Linked DNA regions of Coturnix japonica. The main gene of each other region encodes a partner of the protein of the gene in region 5 in a complex. Links are inferred from orthologs where the notes say so. Each region holds a gene or a part of one and is shown on either strand. Other genes may lie near its edges.

What was found.
Region 1: PPP4R1 (region 5) and PPP4R4 share a complex: the UniProt entries of both Homo sapiens proteins name them as parts of the PP4 complex. The link is inferred for Coturnix japonica from reciprocal best matches to the Homo sapiens genes PPP4R1 and PPP4R4.
Region 2: PPP4R1 (region 5) and PPP4R3A share a complex: the UniProt entries of both Homo sapiens proteins name them as parts of the PP4 complex. The link is inferred for Coturnix japonica from reciprocal best matches to the Homo sapiens genes PPP4R1 and PPP4R3A.
Region 3: PPP4R1 (region 5) and PPP4R3B share a complex: the UniProt entries of both Homo sapiens proteins name them as parts of the PP4 complex. The link is inferred for Coturnix japonica from reciprocal best matches to the Homo sapiens genes PPP4R1 and PPP4R3B.
Region 4: PPP4R1 (region 5) and PPP4R2 share a complex: the UniProt entries of both Homo sapiens proteins name them as parts of the PP4 complex. The link is inferred for Coturnix japonica from reciprocal best matches to the Homo sapiens genes PPP4R1 and PPP4R2.

What each region holds. Positions count from the first base shown.
Region 1 is NC_029520.1:41,201,759-41,205,866, reverse strand, and holds the start of PPP4R4 (serine/threonine-protein phosphatase 4 regulatory subunit 4), read right to left. Parts: upstream 2,811-4,108; 5' UTR 2,569-2,810; coding exon 2,452-2,568; intron 1,908-2,451; coding exon 1,834-1,907; intron 1-1,833. UniProt on the Homo sapiens protein: Putative regulatory subunit of serine/threonine-protein phosphatase 4.
Region 2 is NC_029520.1:40,224,046-40,227,559, reverse strand, and holds part of PPP4R3A (serine/threonine-protein phosphatase 4 regulatory subunit 3A), read left to right. Parts: intron 1-14; coding exon 15-173; intron 174-367; coding exon 368-537; intron 538-1,443; coding exon 1,444-1,586; intron 1,587-2,807; coding exon 2,808-2,998; intron 2,999-3,480; coding exon 3,481-3,514. UniProt on the Homo sapiens protein: Regulatory subunit of serine/threonine-protein phosphatase 4. May regulate the activity of PPP4C at centrosomal microtubule organizing centers.
Region 3 is NC_029518.1:7,238,166-7,241,679, reverse strand, and holds part of PPP4R3B (serine/threonine-protein phosphatase 4 regulatory subunit 3B), read right to left. Parts: intron 2,037-3,514; coding exon 1,938-2,036; intron 432-1,937; coding exon 1-431. UniProt on the Homo sapiens protein: Regulatory subunit of serine/threonine-protein phosphatase 4 (PP4). May regulate the activity of PPP4C at centrosomal microtubule organizing centers.
Region 4 is NC_029527.1:13,926,307-13,930,576, reverse strand, and holds the start of PPP4R2 (serine/threonine-protein phosphatase 4 regulatory subunit 2), read right to left. Parts: upstream 2,807-4,270; 5' UTR 2,657-2,806; coding exon 2,623-2,656; intron 2,527-2,622; exon of another isoform or gene 2,272-2,526; intron 2,080-2,271; coding exon 1,998-2,079; intron 56-1,997; exon of another isoform or gene 32-55; intron 1-31. UniProt on the Homo sapiens protein: Regulatory subunit of serine/threonine-protein phosphatase 4 (PP4). May regulate the activity of PPP4C at centrosomal microtubule organizing centers.
Region 5 is NC_029517.1:88,769,208-88,772,721, forward strand, and holds part of PPP4R1 (serine/threonine-protein phosphatase 4 regulatory subunit 1), read left to right. Parts: intron 1-787; coding exon 788-895; intron 896-1,732; coding exon 1,733-1,798; intron 1,799-2,788; coding exon 2,789-2,947; intron 2,948-3,433; coding exon 3,434-3,514. UniProt on the Homo sapiens protein: Regulatory subunit of serine/threonine-protein phosphatase 4. May play a role in regulation of cell division in renal glomeruli. The PPP4C-PPP4R1 PP4 complex may play a role in dephosphorylation and regulation of HDAC3.

The DNA.
Region 1 (4,108 bases), on a different chromosome or scaffold from region 5:
GTACTATTTGTAGATACTGAAGGTAAGATATATACTTTTAATTACTGTTATTCCATTATTATTATTATTATTATTATTATTATTATTATTATTATTATTATTATTATTATTATTAAATGGATAACCTTAAGGAAGTCAAATAATACATCTGCATGAGAAAATGAGGCACAAAAAGTCTAAGTTTACATTGCTGTCCAACAGGAACAGTCAGGGATATTGTGTTATAATAGATGAAAAACAGCAGACAAGCCAAAAATATATACCTCTGTGCATTACATAAAGGATACCATTTGTGTTGCAAGCAGCTTTTCAACTCTGCTGATATCCTACTTGGTGCAAGGAGAGCAGCATCGAGCAAAAGCTTCCCCTGGATTAGTGTATTAACATACCTGAACAATCACAGCAAGTGATTGCTTTACAGAAAGCTTAGCAAGCAGAGATGAAGCCACCTTTCAGTACAAAGGTTTATGAAGAGGCAAAAATAATGAACATTTCAGCACAAGGAAATGAATATTATTTCTCCAAAACAGCTGTTCATGTAGAGAGAAAGCAGATGAAGATACCAAGAGAAATTCAAGGCCAAGTTCAAAAGTAATTAGTAACATGAAAGATATGACGTAGAACCTTTCACCCTTTAACAAGGCAATGATCCAGTAATGACATACTGCTTGAAACATCATTTTTATTGAGAAAAGAGAAAAAAAGAAAAGAAAGAAAAAAAAAAAAAGAAAAAGAAAGAAATTTGTGGCTACAGGAAAGGGAGCTGATAAGGGGAGTGGGTGGAAGCCAGCCCAGCTGATTACTGTGAGGTACAAAATGAAATTGATGTGATTTTCTCGAATGATATGCACCACATACAAAATGCCTTCTCTGAATTTCCCTAGAGTCAACAGATTGCTTTCAGATTATTTTGACTACAGGAACTATTTCCAACACAAAAGATTCTAAATCAGTATTTAATAAAATTTAGCATCAAAAGAAACTCACTACTAAGAGTAATACCAGTAGGCAAAAGTCCTTACCTAAAAATAATGCCACACATCCCAGAAAGGGAAAACTAAGGCATCGGGATTATGTACTCTAAACACTGAGGGCAGTAATAGACCAGAAGAACACTTAGAACAGCAAAATAAGCAAACTGAGAGGGAGCTGCAGCTGGTTCTCCAATTACTATGTATTGTGCAAAAACAAATACTCAAATCAAAATCCCTCAGAGCATTTGTAATCTCAGAGATGACACACAATTGCTGAAAGTGATCTGTTTTTTAGAATATCAGCATTTAAGTTGTCCAGTAACTGCAAGCAAAATTCTTTAAAGAACATGAAGAGGGTGGTACAATGAAAAGTCACAGGGAAGCATTAACAGAGCATCTTCCACAGTACTGCATAAGGACTACAAAACTAATCTCTCAAGTCTTCTCTTCTGAAAGCTGAGATGTATTGAAGTAGCTCTGTTATCAGCATGTGTAACCACTCATACTTCACAGTGAATATGAAGGCATTGAATAAAGGGCATTACTAATGTTAACACTCGAGGTTTTTACAAAACCATCTGCTGGGGTAAAGAAGATGAAGTACAACTCAATGTTGGTGAAAGCCATATTAGAAACAAAAATGTTGGTACACCTACACAGGCATCATAGGCTCTGCAACTTTAAAAAGCACAACTATGGTATCTGTCTTTACCTTACTTAGACATCCAGCATAGCAGAAAGTAAGAGACAACAACTACTACAAGACAGAAAATGAAGAGAATGAAGAATAACAGCACTAAAAAAGCCATATGTAAACACAAAGGTAAGTAATGTTTCACAGTAATGCTGGAGGAAATACCTGAGCAGGTAAAGAGCCCTTTCAATGTCATTGAGTTCTTCATCAACTGTCAATCGTTCTATTTCTTCTGGTGTCTATCGAGTGTGAAATAGAGATTATGAGTTAACAATGCCTTACCACTGCCTTATTTTAATCCTCTTTTACCAATCCCCTCTTCCCCACACCCAGGGATGCTCCAGGAGCGATCTCAACACTATCCCTGAGCCAACATCTCAAATTCAGTCCCACTGATCCCTCACTGGGGGAAAGGGGCTGAAACTGAAGCACAGCCCCATGTCAGACACTATCGCTATTCAACACTTGAAAGAAAGTATAAAATCAGTCACATGTACATTAACCTAAAAGCCAAAGTAAGTCTGTTTTTTGTTTTAGTTTCTTTTTTGTTGGTTTTCTTTCTTTTTATTTATTTATTTATTTATTTTCCCCCCAGCATAGCAGTCTCATGATGAGAATATTAGAAACCTAGAGTTCAATATGCTTTACTCCAAAATGACTGAAAACAATCTCTGATACCCCGGCGCAGTAAAACAGACCACCTATCCGGACAGCTGCCTACAAACGCATCCAGCAACAATCACACACGGATTGCAAAGCATCGTTCTATTTCCGAGCACATACCTTCAGGCTCCTGCGCACCGGCCGCTCTATAATAGTTAGTTCCTGCAGGTCTTCTATGTACCCGAACAGATTGCTCTGCCCAAAATCCATGTCTCTGGAGCAGGGTATGGGGCGCATGGACGCGCCGCAGCCCCCGGCAGCCGCCTCTCCGCCCGCGGCTCACATAGCGCTGCCGGCACCGCGCAACGCCCCCTCCGTGCCTACCGCCACCGGGAGCCCGGCACACTGCGGCACGGCCGCCAAACTTTGTACGGCCGCTTTCCCGACCGAGCAGGGAGCGGGATGTGCCCCTCCCGGTAACCCTCCGGTGGGGGTATTAGGAGCCAACTTTCCCCTCCTCGCCGCTTAGTGCCGGGCTGCGGGTACCACCGCTCGCCGCCGGGGCACGGAGCGGAGCAGCCTCGCCGCGCAGCCCGGGTGCCGCCCCCCCGCCCCAGGGGGAGGGACGGTCGGTGGCCGTGGCGCAGTGATGCTCCCCGCCTCCGTCCCGCTCCGGCAGCGCAGCCCCCGAGGCGGACGTAGCGCACGGCGCCGCGGGCAGAGCGGGGGCGAGAGCTGCGGGCAGAGCCGGGGCAGCCCCGCACACCGGCAGCCTCCGCAACCGGGCCGCCCCAGCACCACGAGCCGGTCGCCGGGGCAACGCGGGACCGAACGGCTCCGAGAGCGGCGAGATCCGATCCGCCCCCTCGCGGCTCCTCTGCCCGCGTTCCCCGGCGCGGCTGTGACCACGCAGACCTCTCCATGGTCCCTACAGTCTCTCTGGGTGTTTCCGACCCTGCGGTGCCGTCCGAAGCATCTCCTTCCCTCCCGGCCCGGTGATTGGTAGCACCTGAGCCGTACCCTCCCCCCAACTCTCCAAACTATTTCGAAGCAAACCTAGAACGAAGCTGGAAACGTTGTGAGTTTAGTGAAAAGTCCAAAGCAGGTTCCTCTCCCGATTAACGCTTTAAAAACTCAATTTCAGTAAGATAACCGACAAACTTGGCAGTGATTAGCGATCCTCTAGCGAGTGCATCACTCACACGTGTTCTTCCTCCTTACTGCCCTTTACCTCCCCTCTGGCACAGGGACTCTTTCTGAGTCTGTAGAATTTATACAGAGTACACTGGATGTACGAGGACAGTACTTAAAAAATGAAAAAGCCAATTTTTGCCCTTTTAAGGATGGACAAATAACATGGAGAACGTTCTCTTTCTGAAGAATTCGGTATGACAGCACTTTTGGGAGTGGACAGGATAGGAATCCACAACAGTGCCGGTAGCTAGGGAGTTTCTGGTAATTCCATAAATTGGTAATGCTATACAGCCTATTGCTGAGAATTTGATAAACTTTGATTTTATAATCAGTATCTCCGCTTTTATTCAGTAAGAAATGAACACAGTGCGTTATTTCTCTGTGTGCTTTATATGCCAAACCCCACGCTCATTTAAATCACTGGAACAGTAAAACAAAACCAGACCAAACCCTGATCCAAAGTACAAATAAATAATGTTCTGTTATGTAACAGAAAGCCCAGACAGTCCCTGGTTTCAAGAATGGTGATGAGGCACAACAAGATACTGTTTTAAAATCTCCTTTGTAAATAGGAAAAGTGACCAGGCAGGAAGAGCTTTATAAAATGTTCTCTGAGTCCTGGCTCTGGAGACATCCAACATCT
Region 2 (3,514 bases), on a different chromosome or scaffold from region 5:
TGGTTTTGTTATAGATGATTTTCAGACAGCCCAACTCTTGGCATTAATACTGGAATTGCTAACTTTCTGTGTAGAACATCATACTTACCACATAAAGAACTACATCATCAACAAAGATATCCTGCGAAGGGTGCTTGTTCTCATGGCCTCAAAGCATGCTTTCTTGGCACTGTGTAAGTTCAAACGCTGAAGAATAAACCAGTATTTTGTGAGTGTGAATTGCTGTGAATCTTCATTCTTCTGGAAGAAAACTTCTCACAGATGAGACAGTTTGTTACTGAACATAGAAATTCTGCTGTTTTCCTCCGTGTTTCTTAAACAGATTTACAGATATCAGAATTAGTAAATAATAACGTTTCTGTTTCAGGTGCCCTTCGTTTCAAGAGAAAAATAATTGGACTAAAGGATGAATTCTACAACCGCTACATAATGAAAAGTTTTTTGTTTGAACCTGTGGTCAAAGCATTTCTGAATAATGGTTCCCGTTATAATTTGATGAACTCTGCCATAATAGAGATGTTTGAGTTTATCAGAGTGGTGAGTGATGTTATATGCTGAAGTTAATAACTACTTGCTTCACCTTCTAGCTCAAGTAGACTTGTTATTTGTGCCATATGTTTGTGACATTATGTTATCATGGTATGGCGTGATATGCCCACATGACACTGTTTAAATGAACTGTCTTTTTTGTTCTCAGTGTTAACATATTTATTCTTTCTTATGTTTGAGTGGTATGATGGTGTGAAAATTAAATTCACTCAGAACTCAATGTATTTACAGAGTCATAGAATGGCTGAGTTTGGAAGGGACATTGGTTTAGTTCCAGCCTCTCTGTCATAGGCAGGATTGCCACCCACAAGATCAGGGTCCAATCCAACCAGGTCTTAAATGCCTTCAGGGATGGGGCACCCACAGCTTCTCAGGGCAGCCTGTGCCAGCGCCTCACCACCCTCTTCAGTAAAGAGAGCACAGCATTCAGTTGGAATAGCAAACAAAGTTAGGTTTTTTGTAGAGGAGCTTGTCTGGCACTGTGTGGCCACAAAAAAAAAAAAAAAAAGCTTATATTGGTTTTGGTTTTTTTTTGTTTAGTAATTACAACAGATAATAGTTAATCTATCAGTATACAAATATTTACAATTTGCAGCAGGACATACTTGTCAGAGTTGGTTTTAGAATTGTTTTCTACTGGAATTTTAGATTCTCATATAACACTCATATAATTTGAAGCATATATTCTTAGAAGATTACTACTCTTATGTCTGCTTCTCTAATCATATATTTGAAGCTCTAAACTATATGTGGTGGTGTTTTTTGTCATAAGCTAATAATTATGTTTTCTATTGAATATTTAAAAAATAGTGTCTCCATTCCTTTTTATGTTGCATTTAGAAATAGATTCACTTGAAGCAAAATAAGTCACTTTGTGTTTGTTCCATTCTGTAGGAAGATATAAAATCTTTAACGGCTCATGTGATTGAAAATTATTGGAAAGCACTGGAAGACGTAGATTATGTGCAGACATTCAAAGGACTGAAACTACGATTTGAGCAACAAAGGGAAAGACAAGATAATCCAAAACTTGATAGGTAACGGGCTCTAAATTATTTTACTATGATTTCTGTTTTGGGAATAATGATGGGTTTTTCTGCAATAACAGGAAGAGTAAATAATTTCAACTTGATTGTATCTCATCTGCTGTTGAATTTAATTGATTGATAGTGTGATTTCCAGATGTATTACTTCAAACTCTTGATCAACTTTAAGGTAACATATTTGCTGAAGGCAGACACATTCCCTCCCTTCCCTTCCTGTAAAGAAGTAATGCTGTTCATCCATTTCAGCTTCAAGAAATACATATTCATACCATAGCCAGACTCAGCTTTTATTTTATTCTTACACCTTGTGTGTGGCTTTGCAAGTCTTGTCACAGACCATGTCCTAAGTGAAATAAACAGATATAAAAATGCAATAATCATAATAATTTGCCTACACATTTTAACAAAGAATAGTTCATCAGTCAGTAAGGAGGCCAACATTGGCATTAACATATTTGGAAACTGCCACTTAAGTAATAATAGAAGTAATAGTTTTCCAGTAGGAGCAAAACTTTAATATAAATGCAGTTTAAAATGCTGTATATCACATAGATCCAGGTTATAATGTTGGCAAGTTAAAATAGTTTTAGCATCCTGCTGCCTCTCCTAGGGAAAAAGGTGGTGGAGCAAAGATAGACCCACACTTAATAAATAATCAAAGGGAGTGGTAAAAGTAGCATGTGGTATCTGAGGCCCTTAAAAATAGAAAATACTGATACCAAACAAAAATGGCAGATGCAGCAGGAAGAGACGACTGTCTTTTTAATATACCTACTTTTTAAAAAATGTATTTGACCTTAAATGCTGATGGGTTATATTAAGTGCAATAAGAAGAAATGTCAGTGGTTTCTAAACTTCTTTTTACAACCTTTTATTTACCACTGCAAATGACTCCAAGTCTGAATGCAGCACAGACATTGATTTGAAATAACATCTAATTGTGCTGTTAGTAAACTACAGAATTTTGTACAGTTGGTCTGAATATTCTTACTAGAACTGTAAGTCATGTAATGCTACAGAAGAAATGTTTTTAATGTTATTTGCATTGAAAATACAAATTGAAGTTGCACATTTGCAAATGATTTGCTGTACTAAAGATACTGACTACAGTATTTGCATCCATAAAATGTCCATGTAAATGTCAAGTAGGTGTTTTGTTATTGATGCGAGCTGATTGTTGAATCATAGTTTTTAAAACTTACTGTTCTTCAGTATGCGCTCCATTTTGAGAAACCACAGATACAGGAGGGATGCAAGAACCCTGGAGGATGAGGAGGAAATGTGGTTTAATACTGATGAAGATGATATGGAAGATGGAGAGGCAGTGGTACCCCCTTCTGACAAAACTAAAAATGATGAAGATATTATGGACCCTATAAGTAAATTCATGGAGAGGAAAAAATGTAAGTGATGAAAAGAATGACGTATGGCCTGTACAGAAAATGTAATTTGTATTCTGTGGTCATACTGAAGTGAAGCTTTTTATTCCTTTTTTTATTGAAGGTCACAGATTTAGGAATTGACACTGAGCTGTTGAACAACCACTTCAAATAAGTTTTATTATCTCTAAAAACCAAGTGATGCAAAAGCGTGTTTACTTCTTAAAGCATCTAAGTGATGATACTGGCTGATAGTCAGGCTTTTCCAAGGTCTATTCAGATTTATTCAGAACTTTCCACGTTCCTTGTGATGTTTTTGGTGGAATAAATAAGTGTTTGTTCCTGGCCAGTGACAACAGCAGCCAGGTGTAGTATAGGAGCAGGAAGAAAATCTATTATCGCTCTTATCAAGTTGTGCATGAAGTATTTTCCCACACAGAAAAATGATATGTCATTATTTGTTCAATAATGTTGCATTGGTTTTTGTTTTCGTGTTTCCTGTGCAGTAAAAGAGAGTGAAGAAAAGGAAGTTCTTCTGAA
Region 3 (3,514 bases), on a different chromosome or scaffold from region 5:
TTGGTCAAGAACTCCCTGTGCCGTTTTGGCTGAGCCAAAGAAGGGTCATACTCAAGGCATCCAACAACATCCATAATACACTCATCAGAAAACATCACCTCGAACAGAGTTGCTTTATTGAGGAACAAAATTCCTCTAATAATTTCATACAAATGATGCAAGCCTTCTGTGTTCTCTAAATTCTCGCAGACTTGGAAAAGCTGCAGTAGTTTTTTAATATAGCCTTCATTCTCCAAGGCCAGCGCTAGCTTTTCTCTACGGATGGGTGAGGAGAGAACAGAGGTAACTAGGTCAGCAATCTCTTCAAGTTTGTTGAGTTCGCAAGAAGGAAGGTCAATCAAAGGACTAGTTTCAGGCATTTCTTCTATGTGCTCCTCTTCAGACTCGATAAGGTCCTGCGTGACTTCCACTGAAGGATCCTTACCCTGAACCTAAAAAGAGTGCACACAGTTAACCATCACATCCCAACACATACGAAGGAGTAATCAAGTAGAAAAAATGTACATAAATCCTCTCATATATTCAGTTGCATGGAAAATTTCTAGCCATGAAGAGAAATATTTAAGTTTGCTGCCTATGAATTCTACAGAAGTCACTACCACTATCTCCAGTAGATATTGCCAAAATTCAAACAAATGAACCCACCAAAACCTAACCACATCTTTGCAATAAAAAGTATGAAGCACCCTGTAGATAAAAACAAAATGGAGAGAATAAAAAAAGGCATAATAAAGCCTTCTTTCAGTATCTCAAACCGAAGGGATAACTAGGGTATAAAGTCACATTAAGAGACCACAGCTACACTAACATGATGTGAACCATAACAAAAAGACCAAAAACAAAGGCATAAGGGTATAATGGATGCCCAAACTGAACAGGCAAAGAGGGATGCAACTGACTCCCACTCTGTACTCTCATTCTGTTGGGTATGCTCATTTCCTCTCCTGAGCCTACTAACACACCCTATACTTTTGATTTCCTTTACTGATCCTAAGATTCATAAACTCCTATCAGATCTCTCCCACAAAAGATCACCTCCCAAAGAGGAGTCTCAAAGTCCAAAGAGTTTTGAAATCCAGTGAAAGAACTAAGGCTAATGGCTGGCACCATCTGACCACACAAAGACCTTCCTCTCAGACTGATTATCAGATCAGTCCCACGCAGGCCTAACTGAAAACCTGCACTACATATTAGACATATCTGCAGCTACTGGCATCAGTTCCTTTCAGTATTTTACAACTGACAGAGAAGATTCAAACTCAGCATGTTTTGGAGTATAAACAAGCATCTTAATCAGCTATTTTGTTCAAAGGAAATTGCTCAGAAATCTGAGTTCTAAGTTTCATTAGTGACAGCTTCATGTTTCCAGAATCTGAGACAGTTAGGATCAATTCTGACACAAAAGCCTGGGTTTCTTCTGTGAAGTACACATAGGTGTAACTCCACTGAACTGTTATTAGAAGAATTGAAAGCATTGAGATCCAAACTCTGTTACCTAATAACAGAATGTAGACTGAAATATCTCTAAAGACATGGTGAGTAAGACTTAGGTCTTGACGGAAAAAATGACTGACATTTTGAGCAATGCCAGCAGTGCCTCTCTCTGAGGGAGAACTAGCCCCACATGTTATTACAACTGATTACACCTAGCTCTCTACAGGACAGTTAAAATCTGGCACTTTAGGTTTTCTAGTTTCTAACCTAAAAACAAGTCAAAAACTGTGTTTCTCTTATTGATTTTAAGAGCAGGAAGGTAAAAAAAAAACACATTTTGTTCTAAATAGTGGCAACTTCAGATTTTATACAGAAAAGCCACAGCAAGTAATGACAAAGACATGCTTATTTTACAAATAGGTTTGAAAAGCACAACACAAATACATGAAAACACAGAGGACACTAAAACATCTGCAAGAAACAATAGAAAAATTTAAGTGTACCTGGCAGATTTTTTCCCAGATTTCATCACAGCCAGCTTTTTCTTGAAAACTCAGTGCTAAGTCATAGTTCTCTGCTTCTGACCAAACAATCAAGGTGTCCTGTTTAAGACAAAAATATATATATCTATAACCAAATATATTCATTTCTCAGGCAGTTTAGATCTTCACCAGGGATTTAACTATATTCTGTTGAATCACATCTAAGGAATAAGTAATAATTAATGTTACCTTTGTCAAAAGAATATCACCCTTCTTTTTTCCTTTCTGAATGTCATCCTGTATATACATCTTTCCATATTGAAAACATTAATAATGGCATTTCTCTGCAATATACCTCCCAAGCCAGCAGTTCTGACTGTGCATATGAATGCACACAAAAAGTTCAGTAAATTTGTGATGTAAATATGAAAAACCTTAAATTCTTCTGAAGCTGTAGAAAAAAGTAAAAGATTATCATTTCCTTCTCAGAAGGAGTTTAATACAGCTGTAACAATATGAGAAATAAAGACTCGAGTATTACAAACCTGAACACATACAACATCTTTTCTAAACTAAAAGAACATAAGTAGAGTGGCTGAGAATTTCAGTGCATTAGGACTAAAACATGTGAGTTACCAGGTCTGTAGTAGAGCTGCCAGGCCAAGAACAAAGCCTGTGCTTGGACACCCAAATATGCAGTTCCACCTCCTACAATAAACCCATCTGCACATCAAAGAGCTTCAAACCATCTGCTCTCTGCTGACTTTGTGAAGCAGTTCAATGTTGTTACCTCTGTTGACTTCCTGAACTGCTACCACAACTTGTTTTAAACCCCAGTAAACCCTTGCTATGTGTCAATAAGGCAATTCCCTTCCTACTTTTGCAGAGGACAATATTAAGCACACAACTTGCTGAGGCCTGTAAGTCTTGATCCTTCCCCTTGTATATCACTTTTGTCACAAAATACTTTAGTGATGTGTTTGAGCTTAGCAATCAAACCCAAGCAAACCACTGGGTGGCTTACAGACACCCAACGTATTAGAGGAAAGCAATGGGCAACAAGGAAAAGAGGTCCCTGTGCTCTCTCCCTCACATCGTTACCTAGAAGGGCTTTCAATTGTCTTCCCAGGTGATCCCACTGCTTCTGCACCTCCTGCCAGAGTCAGCGTTCTTTAATCCTCCTTGACCCAAGCTGGGTTAGCTCAGATGCTGCAAGCAGAGCCGGCAGCAGCTAGGGGACTAGGGGACAGCACAGGGAGCAGGGAGCTGAGTTGCAGCTGCATGGCTCACACAGGGACTCTCCTCCCACACAGCATGCCAAATAACTGCTGCTGCAGCATCGCATACCAGCAGTTCTCTACAGAGGTTCTGCAGTGTTCTTGTAGTAGGCAAACACAGCACTATGCTTTCATATTTGCTTCTCATGCATACTGTTTCTTTTCTTATGGCAACCTTGTTGATGAAGACCTACTACTAAATGGGCTTCTGTATTCCACAGGAAGACCACAAGCCACACTAAACAACAGCAATTGTACAAGCTCAATTATTTTCCCCCCATTTGTCCATTTTTCCTTAAAGAAACAGGTCTTCCCTAGCAA
Region 4 (4,270 bases), on a different chromosome or scaffold from region 5:
AACAAGGGTGAAATTACAGCTTAACCTATACCTGTGTGTACCTGCTCCTAGTTCACTGGGATGAATAAGAACACTCAAACCAACGAGGGCAGGGAGGTACTCAATGGCTTACAGGAGACCATGTTTTCAACCTGTAAGGCAAGTGATGCACGCCATGATCATGCTTCTATATTAACCTTGAAAAAAAAAGCACTATAATTTACTTTATTAACATCACTTTCAAGTAATTTTTTATTTGTTTTTTCACAAGAACTGCTACGATGATGGCTGGAAGAGGTGTGCAGTGTGAAGGGCGAGAACATGGCATCTGAACCCAAGACAGAACAGAAGCAACAGCTGTCAGAGCAAGATAGAAAGCAGGGAGAACCTCCCCCCACATCATATAACACTACTAGAAACAACTCAAAGAAAACCATGTCACGTTTCACTTGTCCCTGTTTGCCTTGGTCCTCACACACACACAGGTACTTTGTGCTGCTCTAGGAACAGGCTGTGACTGAGCGAAACCCATTGTGCTCCAGTAAGCCGCAAGATTGTGCAATTACAAACTTAATCGTGTTTGTTCGTTTGTTTTAAACTGAGCTCTGAGCTGCAAAACAACCCTAATAAATGTTACTACAGAATTATGTTTGTGACATTCATCATCTTAACATCAAACAATGCATTTCTTACTGTTTGAGATTTCTACTGAATAGATAATAAATGCATAAACTAGGTATTAAATGTATAAAATGAATTAAAGGATACTCAGCTCATTTCAAATTGATACATTCCTCCTGAATGTATTACATATGATTCTTATAAGCACACTAATGCTCTTTACATGGACCATAATGAAATTTTAATTTCCACTGATTCCCTCCTGATATTTTGATGTGTAACATACCAGTGAAAACAGAAACAAATTAGATGAAATAGAATTCAACAGACAATGGGAAGCAAACCAAGTGGTACAGAACAGCATTCCCATGACATCCTCCAGATTGTAGTGAATGCTTCTGATGCTCAGATCTGACACTTAAAAAAATAATAATAAAATTGATGTAACTGGAAGGTTTGAAAATATTGAAAACAATGCTACAGATCAGAGAAAGAGTAAAAAAAAAAACGAACACACAAAAGGGCAGGGCCTGCATGAGGCTCCTGGTGGCTGCCATCAGGGTGAAGGCAATCACTGTTAATAACTAAGCACAACCCTGAGCCCACACTGAGTGAAGCGCTGTCCCAAAGCATCGAGTATCACAACTGTGTATGTCTGCTGAGCCACAGCCTCTTATTCAAAGACCGAAGTACATTTCACAACTTGTTTTTCCTTCAAAACCACCGACTCCAATAATACTGGGAAGACGGGGGGGGGAAAAAAGAAGGGAAAAGAAAGAACAATGTCCCGCGGGTCGGGGAAGCCGGGAGGCAGAACAAAGGCCGGCACTAGGCCTCGCAAACAAGGAGCCCGGCTGCCACAAAGTGAGCCACCAGCGGCAGCGCGAGCAGACGAGCCGTCCCACTTCCTGCCAAACACTGAGCAACACGGAAGTTACCGCACGCAGCACGGCCCAGCCCGCAGCGGGGTGACCCGGAGCGGCGGAATGGGGCCTGGGTGTGAGGGAGTGCGGGGACACGGGCTGTATGGGCATGGAACGGCTGGGGGCGGGACGTGGACGAGCTGAGCTGTTACAGGGGCACGGCACAATAACACTGAGCAAAACTCCCATTAAAAAACAAAAATAAACGTCGCATCAACTTTTGATAGAGCAACAGGTTTCATGTGCTGGGCAGGGTAACACCTGGAACACACCTCTGACCTGTGCGAGAAGAGGCTCCTCGTTAGATAAAGCTGCCAGCAAACAGAACTAATCCAGCCAGGTTCAGCACACGGCCAGGGGAGCTCAGTTAGCACAGCTCACTTAAACCAGCACAGCTCAGTTAGCACAGCACAGCTCAGCCCAGCACAGCCCAGCTCCGGAGCAGCCCGTTCCCGCAGCACACACAGCACTTACATGGTCTCTCCCGTCTTGGCGACATGGCAGAGGAACTGGTCCAGGATGGGGCACACCTCCTTCTTCCCTCTCTTCTCAAAATCTGGTGGCACGAGAGGAATGGGAACAGAAAGACAAGAAGATTATATTAAACATCGCAACCACCACTTCAACTACAGCGTGACTCCCTCAGAAACACCCCCTGCTTCAACAGCGCCTCGGCTGATCCCAGCAGCTCCTCCAACTTTCCAGCCCTGGAAAACGCCGATCTATTTCATGGTGGAGAATCGCGCACCTGGGCGGCAAAAGTTGGTGCGCGACTTCAGGGCAACGGCGGCTGGAGCTGGTTCCCTGCTCGGGGACGGGACGGGCCGCAAAGGCCGAGACGGGGCGAGCTGAGGCGGAGCGGGGCGAGGGAGCGCCGGGAGGAGCACAGGGCGAGGGCAGCCCGGGGGCTGTGGGCCCAGGCCCGGCCCTCCCCGTCCCCACGGCGAATCCCCGGCCGCTCCCACCTCACGGACCCCGCGGCTCCCACCCCGGAGCAGTTCCGCTCACCCCCGGCCCCTACAAGTCCCCGCTGGGCCCCGCTGCTCCCCTCAGCGCGGGGACACCGCTCCCCCACCCCCCGCCGCTCGCCCGGCAGCACCTTTCAGCGCCTCCTGCAGCCTCTCGACGTCCATGATCCGCACCGCCGATCCCTCCGCGCTGCTCCCCTCCGCCGTCCCCCCCCACCCCGCACAGCAAACTGGCTCCCAGCGCCGCTCGGCACGGACACAAACCGGGCTCAGCAACCTTCCAACATGGCGCCCGGGCCGTCCCCGTGCGCGGCCCCGACAGCCCGCCCTCCTGCCCGCCGCGGGGCGGGGCCGCGCGAGCCCTGAGGGAGGCGGGAACGGGCGGGAACGGGCGGCGGGAGCGTCACCTCAGGGCGGGCGTGTAGAATTGGGGATCGGGAGCGAACGGGAGGGAAAAATGAGGCAAATTCGGGGCCTCTGTGTGAGCAGCGAGTAACGGTGTGATGTATGAAGTGCTGCGATGGAGCGCCGGGTGACACAACTGCCGGTTCGGTGCCGCGGACCAACCGTTTAATTAACGGTGAATGGGATTTCCAGCAGGAGGTTCTGGCACTTCGACCTGTACGTGTCCCGTGTTGCCTGTCCACAGGCAGCATCACAGCTTGTCTGAGCGAGATGGCATTAAAACCATTAGTGAATCCAGCTGCCAGCTTTCTGCTGGTCACTTTGCTCATCTCAGAGATGCAATGGAAGAAGCAGCAGTGGCAGCACACCTTCACTTCCCTCTGGTTAACTTCGTTATTTTTACAAAGGTACCAAAGTGCACTTAAAGCAACACAACCAATACCTGCCTTTGCAACCTTGAGCACAGCTGAAGAGTGGAGAACCCACCTTTCCTGGTAGCCCTGAAGCAGAGGAGGGCAGCCCTGCATGCTGCAAACACACATCCCCTCATCTACCTGAAAAAAATACTGCAACTCCTCCATGTCCAAGGGATAAACATTAAATGTAATCCTAGAATACAGAAAGCTTGTGTGGAGTTTCATCACTGATATGCTGTGTGACCTCAAGCAAAGGAGTTGGGCAATCACACCTGAGTGTCTTTATTAACTACACAGAAATGGTAATTGCACTCTTTGGGAGGTATTTGGCACACCTTGCAATAGGAGCACACAAATCATGTCATTCAAATCCCCAGTGCTACTTAGGGAGTATTTACTGTGGAACAATAATGAAAAGACTCATCACGTTAGGAAAGAAAAAAGGGCATTTTTAAACACATAACAAAAGCAGGAGAAATTGATTTCCAATGCAGATATTTCTCCCTTTGCATTACATTCACATGAAGCCTATTTCAGATTTGCATTTTGCATTTCTTTTCAACTTCTGCAAAGCACTTTTTGAGAGAGAGCAGGACAAAGTCCAATACCTTAACAGGATGAATCCAATTCTGCCTGATGCAACTGAACTACTCTCTCTTTTCACATGGTCTTACACTCGAGTTCAGGTCAAGCACTGATGTGATAAGACTTGTGTTCATATTCATCAGTACTGGAGGAAGATACAGATGACACGTACAAGTTCTATAGCATACTGTACTTCCACATTCTCCTCTTCCTGAAATATCATCAGAAATCAAAACCAACTAGAAACCAAGGGACAGCAATACAACCACATCATGCTATGCAGACAGAGAACAGGCAGAAACTCTAATATTGTCAGTTCTGACGGATCTGCAAGAGAGAAACTTTGCAGCAACCAAAAACGGCCTTCCTTCCT
Region 5 (3,514 bases):
GAAGCATCTACTTCTTGTTTTTTGCAGGCTTGTTTTATGAGGGGTTTAAATTTCATCTGTGCAAAATTTTTATCCACAGCAAATCTTGAATCCTTGAATTCTCTTTGTCATTACTTTCTGTTCTGTTCTCTTTATTGATTTCTTTTTGTTGCGTGTGTGGGGGCTTTTGTTTGTTTACTTTGGATAAAATAATAAGCATATTTGATAATTAAAAATTCTTCTGTGTCAAAACAGTCAGCAAATTGATATTTTAAAGGAAAAATGGCAGAAGCTGTTTTGTCCTTTCCCTTTTAAAATTTAGAATTGTATGTAAGAAGTTAAAACTGTCACTTTCCTTGGTATAATACACATGTGCAGTACTTTTATATTAGGGAAATGCAGATGGACCATGCTCTCAGACATGGTATGACTTTTTCAGTGTCCCTTTGTGGAGCTGGTAGTTGGACTTGATGATACTTACGTTGGACCCTTCCAACTCAGAATATTCTGTGTTTCTATGACCAATATAAAGTATTTTCAATTATTTTTTTCAAATTGTAGAGAAGATAACAGGTAACACTTAACCATGTTGTTAAACAGTGATATTTCTGTTGTCAGAAAATTTCTCAAGTATTGGAACAGTCAGATCTTTTCAGTTCAAGAACTGAATTTTTTCTTTTCAGTAGTTCTTCCTGATTTTACTTTTCTATATCAGAAAATTAAATGTAAAAAAAAGCTCTGCTGAGCTGACATAGAATTGTGTATTGTGCAAGCATTCCTAACTAGTGTCTGTCTATCTTGCCGTTAGATCATGTGCAAAATGGCCTCCATGGTGGGAAAGGACATCACGGAAAGACTTGTTCTTCCTAGGTTTTGTGAGATGTGCTGTGACTGCAGAATGTTTCATGTTCGTAAGGTACGTATTATCAGCACCTCATCTGGATTATCTGTGAAAGTAGTGTCATTGGTTTGGAACTTGCCTTTGTCTAAATGACACCTTCCTGCTAGATTACATCTGTATTCACTTATGTATCTGAATACATAAGTGAAAGCTTATGGGGTTTCTTTGTGGTTCATATTTCCACAGACTTTATATTTGATGCTGACTACTTTTCCCTGAGTATCTACCTTTATTATTAGAAACAAAGAAAGAGCTGTCCTTACGATTGTGCAGGTAGCTGTGAAAATGTGAACCAGCTGGAACTGATAAAGCATCAGCTACCTGAGCTCATACCGCTGTGCATAGACATAAAGATGCTCATTAAGATGAGGCAAGCTAGTATGCCATCGTGAAACTTAGGTGTTGAGGCTGCGTTTTGGTTTCACCTTGCTATTGGATAGCTGCTTCTCCTTTGTAATTGCTTGTATTATTTCATTTGACGGCACTTTGAATGTATTCCTTCCCTTTCACTTATGTTTTGGGGTGGTTCTTTCAGGATTAAATCATTAATCAAGCTTATAAAGAGAAAGTTAAACAAAAACTGAAGAAGAACTTAAAAAGAATATATATATATATATATATATATGTATGTATGTATATGTATATTCTTTTAAAGTTTATATATATATATTTATATATATGTATGTATGTATTTAACACCATAGAAATAGGTAGAATGAAGAAGTGGCAGATTCTGAGTTAGTGCCAAATATTGTTTCTGTAGTTGTAAAAGCTGTTTGGTTATTTCTTTTGACTTTTTATGCTGTACTAAAAAATTGTCACAGTGGTTATTTCTTGCATTTCATTTGTAAGGTGTGTGCAGCCAACTTCGGAGATATCTGCAGTGTGGTTGGGCAGCAGGCCACTGAAGAAATGCTGGTAAGCTGCCTATTAAGGGATTTTTCTTTTTAGTACAAGTCAGTAGTGGAGTTAGATGTGGGGACAGTGAAGGACAGATAAAACAATTTAACTGCTATGTTCTCTTAGTAAGAAGAATCTATAACAGCATGACTTTTCAGTTTGGCTGGTACAAGGTTTTCTTTGAGATTAATAAAATTTTGACGACCGTTAATACAGACTTCTTAGAATCCTTAGGGTTGGAAGGCACCTTTAAAAATCATCTAGTCCAACTTCCCTGCAGTGAACAGGGACATCACAGCTAGATCTGGTTGCCCAGGACCTGTCCCAACCTCACCTTGAAAGTCTTCAGGGACCGGGGCATCAGCTATGTCTGTGGGCAACCTGTTCCAGTGCCTCACTACTCTCACTGTAAAAGACTTTTTCCTTATGCCTTATTTAAATCTACCCTCTTCAAGCTTGAAACCATTTCCCCTTGTTCTGTCACCACAGACCCTGCTAAACAACAGGTTCCCTTCTTTCCTGTAGCTCCCCTTCAAGTACTGAAAGGCTACTATCAGGTCACCTTGCTGCCTTGCTGCCTTAGTCTACAGCTGAGAGGGTTTAAAACGGCCTTCAGGTTGTGAAGGTAGAGAATGTCAGTGAATTTTAAAAGATACTGGGCGAGAAAAGGACAGGATTGTATCTTCTAATGTCTATAATGCAATGAGAAATTACAGATACAGAAGTGTAAGAGGAGAGTAGGCTGCTAGGAGGGGCGAGTTTGATAGGATCAATTGATGTTATTCTTCAGATATGTGAATATTCCCTGTCTGTATCTGCAGGTAACGTGAGTGCCAGTGATTAGAAGGGTGGTGCTACTGAATGTGTGTTTTGTCTTGTGCACGTTAAACTGAGCTATCTGTTGAGTGTGAGGGCAGAGAATTTGATGAAGGAAATGAGCATGGAAAGGAACCCACTTTGAAACAAGTACTGCCTGTTAAGACTTGCAACTTGCTGTGTTCTGAACAGTTGCCGAGGTTTTTCCAGCTCTGCTCTGATAATGTGTGGGGAGTTCGGAAAGCCTGCGCTGAATGCTTCATGGCAGTTTCTTGTGCAACATCACAGGAAGTTCGGCGGACAAAGTTGTCAACCCTTTTTATTAATTTGATTAGTGATCCTTCGCGATGGGTAAGAAATGCTTCTTATTTCTTGAACTGCTCTTCAATACAGTTTAATGGTTTGACTGTGATATCCCACATAGAACTTCTCCCCATAGGTGTGGATAACTTGTTTTATGCATCTTGAGCAAGATTCTTGTTGGAATGCTTGGTTTTACAGTGGGTGTAAACATTTCTTTCTATTTCCACCTCACCATGTAAGAAAAACTGGGCCACCAGGACCACTTTTCTTAGCTGCAGAACTAGCTATGACTTAACAATGCTAAAGATCATCATCAGATCTAAAAAAATTAGTTAGAATTTATATCTATTTCCCAGACCACTACCAACGCTTCCTTTTTTGTCTCCAGGGTCTACGTTTTAAACATTAAGTTTGTTATTGAGCAGGCTACTTCCACGAGCAGACTTATGACCCTTCCTATTTCTAACAATGGAGTTTTGTGTTTCATAAGAATGTAATATTTATATTTAATTTTCCTTGGACCTTTTCTACTAGGTCCGACAAGCTGCTTTTCAGTCCTTGGGGCCTTTCATATCAACTTTTGCTAATCCATCCAGCAGTGGTCAGTATTTTAAA